3 linked regions of the Lepisosteus oculatus genome follow. The protein of the gene in region 3 binds, or shares a complex with, the protein of the main gene of each other region. Links are inferred from orthologs where the notes say so. Each region holds a gene or a part of one and is shown on either strand. Other genes may lie near its edges.

Evidence for each region.
Region 1: the proteins of nrip1a (region 3) and roraa are in contact, whole or in part, in a crystal structure (PDB 4S15), measured with the Homo sapiens proteins. The link is inferred for Lepisosteus oculatus from reciprocal best matches to the Homo sapiens genes NRIP1 and RORA. Residues at the interface, in NP_001426204.1 of Homo sapiens: Thr499, Leu500, Leu501, Gln502, Leu504, Leu505, His507; in NP_599023.1 of Homo sapiens: Gln332, Val335, Lys339, Phe344, Met345, Gln349, Gln352, Ile353, Leu356, Pro505, Leu506, Glu509, Leu510.
Region 2: the proteins of nrip1a (region 3) and esrrga are in contact, whole or in part, in a crystal structure (PDB 2GPP), measured with the Homo sapiens proteins. The link is inferred for Lepisosteus oculatus from reciprocal best matches to the Homo sapiens genes NRIP1 and ESRRG. Residues at the interface, in NP_001426204.1 of Homo sapiens: Ser378, Leu379, Leu380, Leu381, Leu383, Leu384, Lys385, Ser386, Gln387; in NP_001429.2 of Homo sapiens: Val277, Ile280, Lys284, Phe289, Leu294, Gln297, Met298, Leu301, Gln302, Lys448, Leu449, Glu452, Met453.

Annotation. Positions count from the first base shown.
Region 1 is NC_090700.1:57,932,399-57,936,152, forward strand, and holds the start of roraa (nuclear receptor ROR-alpha A), read left to right. Parts: upstream 1-1,169; 5' UTR 1,170-1,323; coding exon 1,324-1,477; intron 1,478-3,754. UniProt on the Homo sapiens protein: Nuclear receptor that binds DNA as a monomer to ROR response elements (RORE) containing a single core motif half-site 5'-AGGTCA-3' preceded by a short A-T-rich sequence.
Region 2 is NC_090697.1:62,012,357-62,016,110, reverse strand, and holds the start of esrrga (estrogen-related receptor gamma a), read left to right. Parts: upstream 1-1,034; 5' UTR 1,035-1,193; coding exon 1,194-1,249; exon of another isoform or gene 1,250-1,253; intron 1,254-3,754. UniProt on the Homo sapiens protein: Orphan receptor that acts as a transcription activator in the absence of bound ligand. Binds specifically to an estrogen response element and activates reporter genes controlled by estrogen response elements.
Region 3 is NC_090700.1:318,344-322,097, reverse strand, and holds the start of nrip1a (nuclear receptor-interacting protein 1), read left to right. Parts: upstream 1-1,269; 5' UTR 1,270-1,584; intron 1,585-1,593; exon of another isoform or gene 1,594-1,738; intron 1,739-3,754. UniProt on the Homo sapiens protein: Modulates transcriptional activation by steroid receptors such as NR3C1, NR3C2 and ESR1. Also modulates transcriptional repression by nuclear hormone receptors.

The sequences.
Region 1 (3,754 bases), about 58 Mb from region 3:
CCTGCACAAGAAAATGATTTTTTATTAATAACCTCTTTAAAAATACTGAAAGCGTTAGAATTAATTAAAAGATCATATTCTGCAAAAGCAAACAATGAATTGTGATAAAGAAAAACAATAAGTTGTTGTTTTTTATACATCACATACTCTTGCCTGCGATGTTACAGAAATACCCACTTAACCACATTTTGTTTAAATAATATTGGATCGTATTTCCTGTGCGCTCTTCAGTGGACATAAGCTAAACAGCTGTCGCTCGAGATTTTGAATTATCCGTCACCTAGTGTGCACATCTCCACAGTTTACAGTTTAAATCTAGAGTGAAATATCTAGTCTTCATAAGAGTTCGAAAATAGGAAGTACTCTAATTAACCCAGCGGACCCAGTACAAGTTATGCGTTTTGTGCGTGTTTTCTACCCTGTTCTTACTAGGCACTTTATCTTACATAGCCTACGGATTTTTGTAATTATTTAGGCCTAATAAATTGTAAATATTTTTTGTGTTTTGCAACAAGAAAGAAGGCATCGGTGCTCCGTAGGTTTTAAGATGATGTACAGTATGGGCATTCATTTAGAAAGAGTGCTTAATTGAATTTGAGCTCCATTCATTGCGTTAAATACTGTATGTTATCTTTCTGATTAGCATGGTTTACAAAACATACAGGTCGGTTGAACATCTAAGTACTGCGGCAGTTCTTTTTTTTCTCCAGGACTGTTAATTGTAATCTTTAACGTTTGTGCATTCAATGAATTCAAATTCTGCCGTTGGTTTGAAGACACTGTTAATTACAATAAAATATCACAGCGACCAGAAATTAAAACAAAGAAACTCCTACTGCAGGTAACAAAAACAACAAGGGCAAATATTATTCTGTGAAGTTTGCTCCATCACGTAATAATACATTCTTTTTGTTGTTATTATTTCTGTTCGTCATTTCATTCCGTGGAAATATATTCCTGGAACGTCATTTATAACTTGGGAGCGGTTTTTTTTTTTGGAAGCCTTGATTTATGCATTTCTGTAATACAGTACCTCTGGGCAGAGCAAGGCACATGCTAAAAAGCCTTCCCCATCTATTCTCTCTGCTATTGACAGATTTTCCCTGGCCAGCTCCGTGGGTAATTTCACAGACAGTGCTCTTTCTCTCTAGCGCTGCCAGTGGACAGTCGCACACACACACCCACCTCTACCGAGACCCGCACATTCACATTTCATAGTTCTACTGTAAAATAGATAGAGGGAGTCTCAGAGCTCGCCATTCATAGACCATCCACGGCGAAATCACCATAATTAAAAATAATAATCCTAAAAAAATATTAAACATGGAGTCCGCTCCAGATCCAGCCAGCGACCCGGGCAACAGCTCCTCGGAGCCGGCTACCCCGGTAAGGGACACCCCGGTAAACCTGGAGACTCTCCGAAAAGCTGACCATCAAGCCCCTGTTCGGAGGCAGAGCTGCTCCAGTACCAACAGAGGTAAGCTGCTAATGTTTATAGACATCTGTGTAATATTAGAGGCACTGGAAAATAAATATCAGAGGCAACTTTGAAAAGGCAGACTGCTCCCGGTGTGTGTATGTGTGTGTGTGTGTTTTTAAGGGATCACGAAACCTTTTTTTTAAACGATTATTGTGTATATGTGAGGTGTCGCTGAAAACACCCGTGAAGCCGTTTTTCAGCAAATAAAAGTTTTTACAGCTGTAAATCTGTTTTTAATTCTGCAACTTAGCAAGTGCTACTGTATCAGCGCGTTCGGCAGCCCTCTGACGGCACCAGCCATAACTGGTGTTGAAGTAAGGAGAGCCGAGCGTGTAAAGAAGACACAAAACAGACATTTTTTCCCCAGGAATTACGGAAAATTAAATAAATTAGCCCGTGACCGGGAGGAAGCACAGGGCACTGTAAAGTGATAGTCTCTTTACTGGATATTGTTATTTGGGAGGGCCGCCGACATTTGTCAAAAATATGAAATCCAAGGTAGTCTGTGCGAACTTTGGAAAAGTATGACAGGTGTTTCACGTCTCTTGAAAGTAACTTCTGTGTGAATTGATGTTTAAAGGCAGGCGATTTTGTTTTAACTGCGCTGTTCAATTACTAAGCAGGCGCATATTTCAAGAACCACAAAATATTTGTTACACCGGCGCAAATTTTGTCAAAGTGCTCACACGTTGCATTTGCAAGACAGGATCCGGGGAGTACGCACATGACAGCAGCGTAACAGCGGGCAGATGGCTTTTATTACAATAATTTCCTCGGGTGTAGGAGTCTGATTTTTTTTATTAATGTCTGTTTCTTGCATTTTGAGCTGAAATATGGCTGGCTGTTTTACAGTACAGACAGTACGTACTGTAGCCACACCCACCAGACAGCCTCCATTCACGTAATGCAAGTGAAGTTGGGGGGAAAAAAATGATTATATACTAAAGAAACTTGTTACAATAAAGTAGCGAGCGATGCCAGTGTTCACCCGATCCGCTGTGCATTTAAAATTTCATTCTGTGCATTAACACGGGGCGGTCGTCTTCCATCGCATTTCCTCCAGCGAAACGTACAGTATATTTAGAGTCTGATACGTTGAATGTGGAATGTAAGCTGGTTATGTAACAGGTTTAGCCATAAACAGGGGAGGGAGAGAGCAGGGAAAATCACTGCAATTCTTGTACGGTTTGCATAGACGGCCGCTGAAAGTCATATCCTCAGATACAAACAAAAATGTAACTTTCTGCAATGTGCAAATCCGGTTGCATTTTAGGGGATAGAAGCGTGCAAGACTTGTGTTGATCCGTTGCTATAGAAAGAAAACATTGTTTCACTTGGTAACTTGGTAGTTTGGAGAAATCCCTGGGTTATGTAATACCGGGCAAAGGCAGGTACAAAGGCATTTCGCTGTTTGAAAATTTTAAGGTTGATCTCACGGCGTTTGTATTGAATTCTGGCTCTGACACTCCTGACCCGGTGACCCATATTTTCACCCTTTCTGTATAGGATTTAAGCGCAATGAAAAAAAAAGGCTAGGGATATGAACGCCTTCACATTGTTATGTAACTCGTTATTTAGTGGGAAAAACAGCAGTAGGAGAGACCGGGGCAGACGGTTAACTTTTGCCGAGGTTATGAGTTTGGTAAAACATTGACGCATCCATTCAAACGTGGCCTTCCTCCTTACAACAAAGCAGGATAAAATATCCTCTTTTATTGTTTTTTAAATTTCTGTATTGAAAGTGCTCTTTATTAGAATGAGCTCGTTCCCAATCTTTGGTCAATCCAGAATTGTTTGTATTTTGATTAAAATATCTCAAAAGTTCAAGAAAAAACAACATCAAAAACATCTGTAAGTGAATACCAACAAAAAGCATTATTTTTTAGGTATTTTTAATTTTCAACAGTTTTAATATAAAAATTGTACTAGTTCTGTCATTTGAAGGTGGGTTATACAGTATTTACAGGGATGCCGGGAGAGGGGTGTATTTAAAAGAACTGCATATTCTTTCCCGAAAAGTAAAGGGCATTTTTGATGTTTTTGGTGGCATCAAGATTAATGAAAAATATCCATTACTGAGTTTCGAGCATGTGGTGCACCAAGTCAAGTAGAAAAAATGCTACCTCAAATATTTCTCTGTAAAAATTTCCTACCATGGGAGAAATTAAATGTGCAAAGTTAAACTTACCTAAAAGCTGTACAAAAACAACAAACGTGACTTAAACTAAAGAATTAGAATCGACTTTGGAATGCAAATGAAGAACCATTAAATTT
Region 2 (3,754 bases), on a different chromosome or scaffold from region 3:
CAAGAGAGCACAGAAAATATGTGCAGGAAGGGTTTAATAACAAAGAACGAGGTCTGACTTAGTTTTATTTTGTTAAGGTTTTTTTTCTATGTATAATTCCTATTGTTTTGTTTTAGGAAACAGAGCAAATATGAACCCCTGATAACAGTTACTTGGTTGTGTTAGTCAGAGGTTCTTTGGTTTTAATTCTAATACCAAAAGACAAACTGGCTTGAGTTTGACTTTGTTGTACAGCTTGGGTAAGTTAATTAGCTTCTTCGCTTAAACCTAGAAGCCAGCATTCATTGGCATTAAATTAGTTTTACCAATTTACTGTCTTCCATGTTGTGAATGCCTTAATTAAACTTTACAGTGGACGGTTACATTGCTTTAATTAAGTCGTTTTTTTCCCTTTTTTTACTGCTAACTGGTCCTATTTTGTATTTCAATCAAAAGTCAGTCTAATCTGGAAATTTAACTGAGGCCTTAAAACCCATAGTTTTTTTTTCAACAGATTATGTGGCCACAAAGCTCTGATACAAAAGTTGTTTTTTAGTGCTCATAGCCCCCTACACCACAACTGGTAATTAGCAAGAGTTTATATTTTTTTCTTTCCTTATCAATGTTGATATGTTTGTATTTATTCATGTATATTAAACACGTGCACACTCAGACATACACAAATGATGTTCATCATGCATCATATTTCTCATTCACAATGGTTTGTGTTTGTCAAAGTCTGAAAGGTTTAATCTCTAAGCTTGACACCTTGAACTGATAAGCATTGTCTTAAAAAAGAGAATGTGCTGGTTCTTTAAAGCCCCCCTTTCTTTCTCTCACCCTGTTCCATCTCTCTGTCTTGTCTCTCTCTCTCAGGCACACTCTCTCTCTTTGTCTCTCTCCACCCACTCCACCTGCTCAGTTCCCCTCAGTATGTGCAGGCAGTGCCCTGTCCAGTTCCAATTGGCTAGGAAGCCACCAATCTGGCGTCTGGATGGGCCAGAGGGACTACATATGCAAAGCTTTACTTCATATTAATGAGCTCCAATCGTGGCTTTAAGTCCTTGATTAGAAGAGTGCGAGAGCTTTTGGTCCCAACTGGCTGTGCCTATAGGCTTGTCACCAGGAGAACATTTCTGTTAATTGCACTGCTCTGTCAGGAAAAACTTTGATTTATAGAGGGGGTTTGCTCAAATTATGGTTGCAGAGCGCACATGGATTCGGTAGAACTTTGCCTGCCAGAGTGTTTTTCCCTGCACTCCGAAGAAGAGTAGGTACATTTTGATTTTTATTCTTCTCTTTGGAAATTATGCCTAATGTTTTACCTATAGACAGTTTTGTTTGTCTTAAATTCTTGCTGTTGCATGTGTACTTTTGTTTTCTGTGTTGTGTTGTGAGCTATATCTGTCTGTCTTGTGTTGTTGACTGACAATGTGCTTCCCTGTAGTGTGTACTTACTGCTCAATACATAGCACAGCTACCTGTCAGGCAAAGTACTGAAACAGTAGCATTGCCTTGTACCTCTGGAAGAAAAAGTGAGCACATTCTTTTTACCATTTAAACCTCACAGATTTCTATAAAAGGCAAATATTTTTTCAACTTAATTTATACTCTGTGTTTTATCTGTTATTAATTTTTATTGATACCATGTCCTTGAGATTTTTTAAAAGAGAGAGCACTTAGAAAAAAAGGTATACTCCAATACCATAAAAAGCTTGAATTTCACAGACAAGCTGCTTACAGTGTGGCCTGGTTCAGCTATTAACAGTGCCACATATTTACATTATTGAGAGCTATGGGGTTATGGTGTATGTTGGTGGGGGGCAGGGGGGGGGGGGGGGGGCAGGTGCTGAATCGAGCCTGCATAGTTCATATAGAGAAACTAGGTTTTCCAAAGTAAATGTATTTTGTTTTTGTCAGATTGATACAATTTCAATTTTAATTACTTGTTTGATGCTTATTTTGTGTTTAATGGAAAAAAATCATAAACTTTGCATTTACTTGTATACATTTTTTATCATAGGTGTCAGCCACTTGTAATTGTTTTCATTCAACAGCTGTATTTGCAGCATTAAGTGAATTGAAATAATAATCGCGTTTGTGCTCAAAGAATTGACAAATAAACAACAAACAGCTAATATGGATAAGTCTGACTGACACTGCTGGGTGTGCTTGCAATTGCCTAGATGTTTGCAAACTGTCATGGGTTCATATAAACCTGATATCTTAAAAACACACACTGGAAACATAACATTGGTCTCTCTTTAAGAAAAGAAACACCAAGACTATTAACCCCTGCCCTTAGTTACATTAAAACACCGATAAGACCATAAAAGTATTGTTCCACCCTTAGTCCATTTAGAGATTAGAAAGAAATAAAGTGTGCCGGAACTGCTGTGTTACAGGTATGCTGCCATAAAGTCCTACCAGCTTTATCCCAGTCTTTTAGACAGTTAGATTAAGGCAATTAACATTAGATATTGAGGTGCACTTGAAGCACTTTCAGAACTGTAAAATAAACACTAGCTTTAATGTGTAACTTTCAAAAATGTGATTGTATTCATTACTACATTATTCTAGCTTCTCAGTAGAATAATTGTCCTCTGTCTGACTTCTCATTCTTTAGGTCTTTAGGAATTAAAATGCTACATCTATGGATACACTTAAGATAACACCAGCATTGAAAAATAAATATGCATTTATAGAAAATGCATTGATTAATCTAATAAGTTCTGTTTTCCCATTTTCTTTTTTATTATTAAGCTCTTTTTCTGATTTTACCTTCTTATGGCTAATTTACATGTTTGGTCTTCATAAGCTTCTTGATGTATATGCTTTTATATTGAATTTGTACCTATACCTTTTTTATGATCTAAGATTTAATGTCTTCTCACTACTTCTTATTTTTGAAGTAAATCAATGTATAATAATATAGTAATGTATAATAATTAGTGTTAAGTTCAATAATATATGGATATATTGGGATACATTGATATATGATATATACATTGAATAATAATGTAATTATTGCACTTCTTTCCTGAGATTTGTTTTTTTATGAAACTTTTATTGTTCACCACTTTATTCAGATTAGCACAAACATAAGAATTAACGTAGAATGGGGTTCATATGTGGAAAGCCATCCTGTATTTATGTACAAGTGTAAATTCATTTTTTAAGGTTGAGGTTTTCCATTTCAATAATTATATAAATAATTATGCAGACTTAATTTCTGTAATTTAGAACAAATGTGAGATAACATTAAAATGCACATTTTTGCTAAAATTTTACATTTTGTCACCAAGTTCAAATGATTTCAACAATGATTGCTACATTTACTGTAAAATGTCGATTTATTTTAATATTAATTCTTAGTTTGCAATATTTATGATAAGATTATAATTACTGTTTTTGTTTAAATGCATGGAATATATAGAAACATTAAATCTAAATATAGCCTTTACAAAATTGAATTGCTGTACAAAAAATATATATAACGTATGGTGGAAATAGCAGCAGTGTATTTTAGGGTTGTTATATTACTTTAAAATCATGTAAGTAACATGATAAATCCTTATTAATTGTTTTTTTTTCATATTTTGTAAATTTTCTACAATATTATAAAATTTACCTACAACGTTTATTTCAAACAAAAATATCATTTGAAAGCATAAACATGTGGAGTCTGTCTGTCCAATCCAGAATATACTATTTAATTTAAAAATGCAGTGGAAAGAAAAAAAATAGCTAAATAAAGGTAGAACAAACCTATTCC
Region 3 (3,754 bases):
CATAACAATTATTTGCATTTTGTATTTTTACGTGTACATTATATTGCAATACGATATAACTGTATAGTGTATATACACTATACATTGAAAACATCACTCCCCTCCTTAGACAGAAAATGCTGATTTCAGCTCACCAAGAGACAAAAAATCCCTGATCGTGACAGTCACGAACGTTTGGATGAGTTAACAGAGATAAAAATTAAAAAAAGTATAAATATAATAGGCTGATTACAACAAAGGCGTTTAACGCTTTTATTACATGATTAGGATCAGCTCAAGGATTTACCATCTCAATATAAAAACACATTTTTGCCATGATTTCAACTAACCTTACTTTTATAGGAGTCATACCTTGAGTTCTAATTCTTGACATGGGGTCGCAGTGCCTTACCGTTTAGTTGCTATTGCTACGACACGTTTGTTCATACATTTCGGGGGGTAAAACCGCGGGTTTCGGAACAGGGTCGTGAGATCAGGCCCTGCACGCAGAAACTCAAAGTTGCTCTATTGGCGAAATGAGAGCGCCGCAGGGGTGGGAGCTCTGGGGGTCTCAGCGGGGAGCAGGAAATGTGTTGCCCTGCGAGAAAAGTGCAGGTATCTGGGGACGGGTTGGGTACATGAGGATTCAACGCTTCTCATTCACCAGAGAACTAGGAAAAACCACCAGCAGCTAACAAGCTCCCAGCATGAGTCACTTAAGGGACTGGAGGAGCCTTGGCCTAAACCAGCTCTAACACGAGGTGTTATACCATCAGCAGTGCTGTTCAAAGGGCTGCCAGTTTTCTTCATCATCTACCTTCCAGATCAGTGAGGGCTTTTTTCATTTCTATTTAAGTCAGCCTGTATTTGGGGGAGTAGTAAAACAAACGTCTGATTTAACACAACGACAAAACCATATTTATTTTATTATCCGCAAACAAACATCTATATTGTTAAACGAAACTGTATGATATTTTAACGTATGTACTTTTCTTAAATGGTTCATGTCATGGTAACGTCATTTTTGGAGTATTAAAAGGCACAAAGAATTGCAACCACTGACACTTTGCCACGTACCCTACACTAAACAAATACTCGACGATCCTAGTGGAAAGTTATTTGCTTCGAACTGATAATTTCTCTACAGAAATCTGTTGTTAGCTTCTCCTTGTGTCCTTTCTTGGGAAATTTCGATCAATCCGAAGCAACAGAAGCTGTGAAGTTCAGTGGCTGAGGAGCAGTGGCGTCGCTGCGCCTTTAAGCGCTGTCGGCGCTGGGGGAGGAGAGAGCCTGTGTTGCAGACTGCTGGGGGATTCCTAGTATAAACACTTCAGCCAGACTCGACTGCGGAGTGCGGAGCTCGATTGCTACAAATTGACCTAGAGGCGTTTTATTTTTCCCAGAGAATTGTTATTATATAGGTTTTCGTAGGAAAACGAATGCTTATATGTGGCCTGTATCCTTTGCTTTTTTATTTTTTTTTCGTTCCTTGTATATAGTCACGGATATCAAGTGAGCCGAAATAAAGCAGGTTGCAAAAGGATTTCCCACGTTTCCAGAGACGCGACTCATGTCTTTGCTGGAGTCCTGTCCATAACCAGGCAGGTACGTGTATATCTGGCGGAACTGCAAGGCGCTAGCACCGGAGATAGGGCCGTGCTGCTGATCTGTGACAGTATGAATTTATCTACATTAACACGCATTTGTGTAAACATTGGAATATTTATTTTTTCGAAAAGCTAGGTTCTAGCACAGTTGGGTACGTATATCGACATTAAAGTGCTGCCTAAAATGGAGCTTTAGTGATCGGTGAGCGGTGCCTCACGTCACTGGTGTAGAAACGTAGTTTCCATTTTGTTTTATTTTATCAGCTGAATGCAACATTAGTGCCTCTGAAGGTCCGTCGCATCTCCGCTGTGGTCGCGGGTTGAATTGCGGAGTCGTGTTCATCGTTGTGGCTCGGTGTGCGGGTGGAGTTAGTTTACTAAATGCTCATTTTCAACAGAATAAAATCTCGCATTTTCTGCCCTTTTCTTTTTGATGTCTTTAATTTTTGCATGTTTTATGCTTTAATGTTGAAATACTTAATAGCTTCCCAATGGAACATTGACGAGGCGTCTAATAACATCGGGTTCAACGTGGCCTTTAAAGACAAACACTTTTTAGCAAGCTGTTTATCGTAGCTTCATGAAATGGGAGACTATGGTAGCGCACGCATAGCAGGACTGCAATTCAATAGTTAACTTGGTGCTGTAAGAGGTGGATCATATGGTTTCGATCCAGAATAGAGAAGTTCCTTCTGTAATTATACACTGGCACACGTGGCCATCAGACGTAACGTTATGTTTTGCAGCAGAAAAACAAAATTTAGTTGATAAGATTGGAATTCAGATAGTAATGTTAAACATGTACTACTTTGCGAACAGTGGTTCTGTCTCTGCCTGTAAAAGTACCGTTTTAGGTTAGCTCTGTAGGCGCTGTTGAAATTTTAGGAAGTCTGTAGTAACCCATTGGAAAATCTACAGGGTTACTAATTATCAGAAATTTAACTTGGTGTCATAAACTGAAACGGACAGCAGCCCACGTGCACAACCACAAACTAGAGAAAACACCATAATAGTTTTCTTAATTGTAATGAAAATATACTCAAAATGTCAATTCTAATTTTTGCTTTTTTTTTGCTTAATTGTTTACGGAAATCTTAACATCTTTTCGTTTACTAAGGACCTTTAAAGAGTTCTTACAGGGCTGCGATTATACTTTTCATCCACAAAAGACTTATTTTTTTAAACATCTTCAGTATGATTAGGGCCTAATACGGAATTATTTTTCAGACCGTTTGCGACCATTTCATAGCCTGTGTGTGCTCTTCTGGACTGATAGACCTTCATCATCACTGGGGAAGCTGTTTGATCCCTGAGATCTTCACAGTTCAAGATGTGTTTATTGGGAGCGCCGTTAGTTTGGTTTTCTTTACATCACAACAGCAGACATTATCATTAATTTGTGACTGGGTCATTTCCAGTTTGTTAAAATACAGCGTGTGAGCTTGCTAGTTGTGTTTTCACAGAATTTAGAATTTAGATAGTTGCTTGTATATCAAGTCCCTTTCAGGAGGGGGTGCTCTTTAGTTAATGGGGAGCTTCTTGGTTATTGCGATACCAACAAGGCATCTTTCAAAGTTGTGGGGATACACATACTTCGTGCAGAATGACTGAGACTTGGCAACTAGGAACTCGCACACGATATAGTAAGTGCAATGGATACTACTGGATTGAAGTTGGATTTTTCTGCTGAATACCTTTCGTTAGAAGCAGGGGCTTCAGAACCATGTCCTATTGCGCTCATTGGTATCCGATTGTACAGGATTTCTTAATTCACTTGTATAGATTTGACATGAAAAATACTTTTACTGTGAGCTGCTCAGAATGTAGTGTTGATTATTTAATGCATTTTGTTGTAGGACCTATTTATCGTGTTGTAAATGAACACATGCTATTCACATTTCTTACTATTTTGTGAAGTCTTTGATAATAGAAAATTAAAAAAATTAAAAACTCTGGTCAAGTTTGGTTTAAAAGTTATGTTTTGTCCATGGTATACTTAAAATTGTATGAACAATGAAGTGGTCATGTTTTTGGAATAGGGTAGGTTTTTCATCAGATTTGAGATTGTTCTTTATATAAAACATTTTACATAGGTGTTTTGGGGGATCACATGCATACATTTGTGGCTTTCAGAATAAGATAATTAATCCTTATTTTTTGCATTTTGA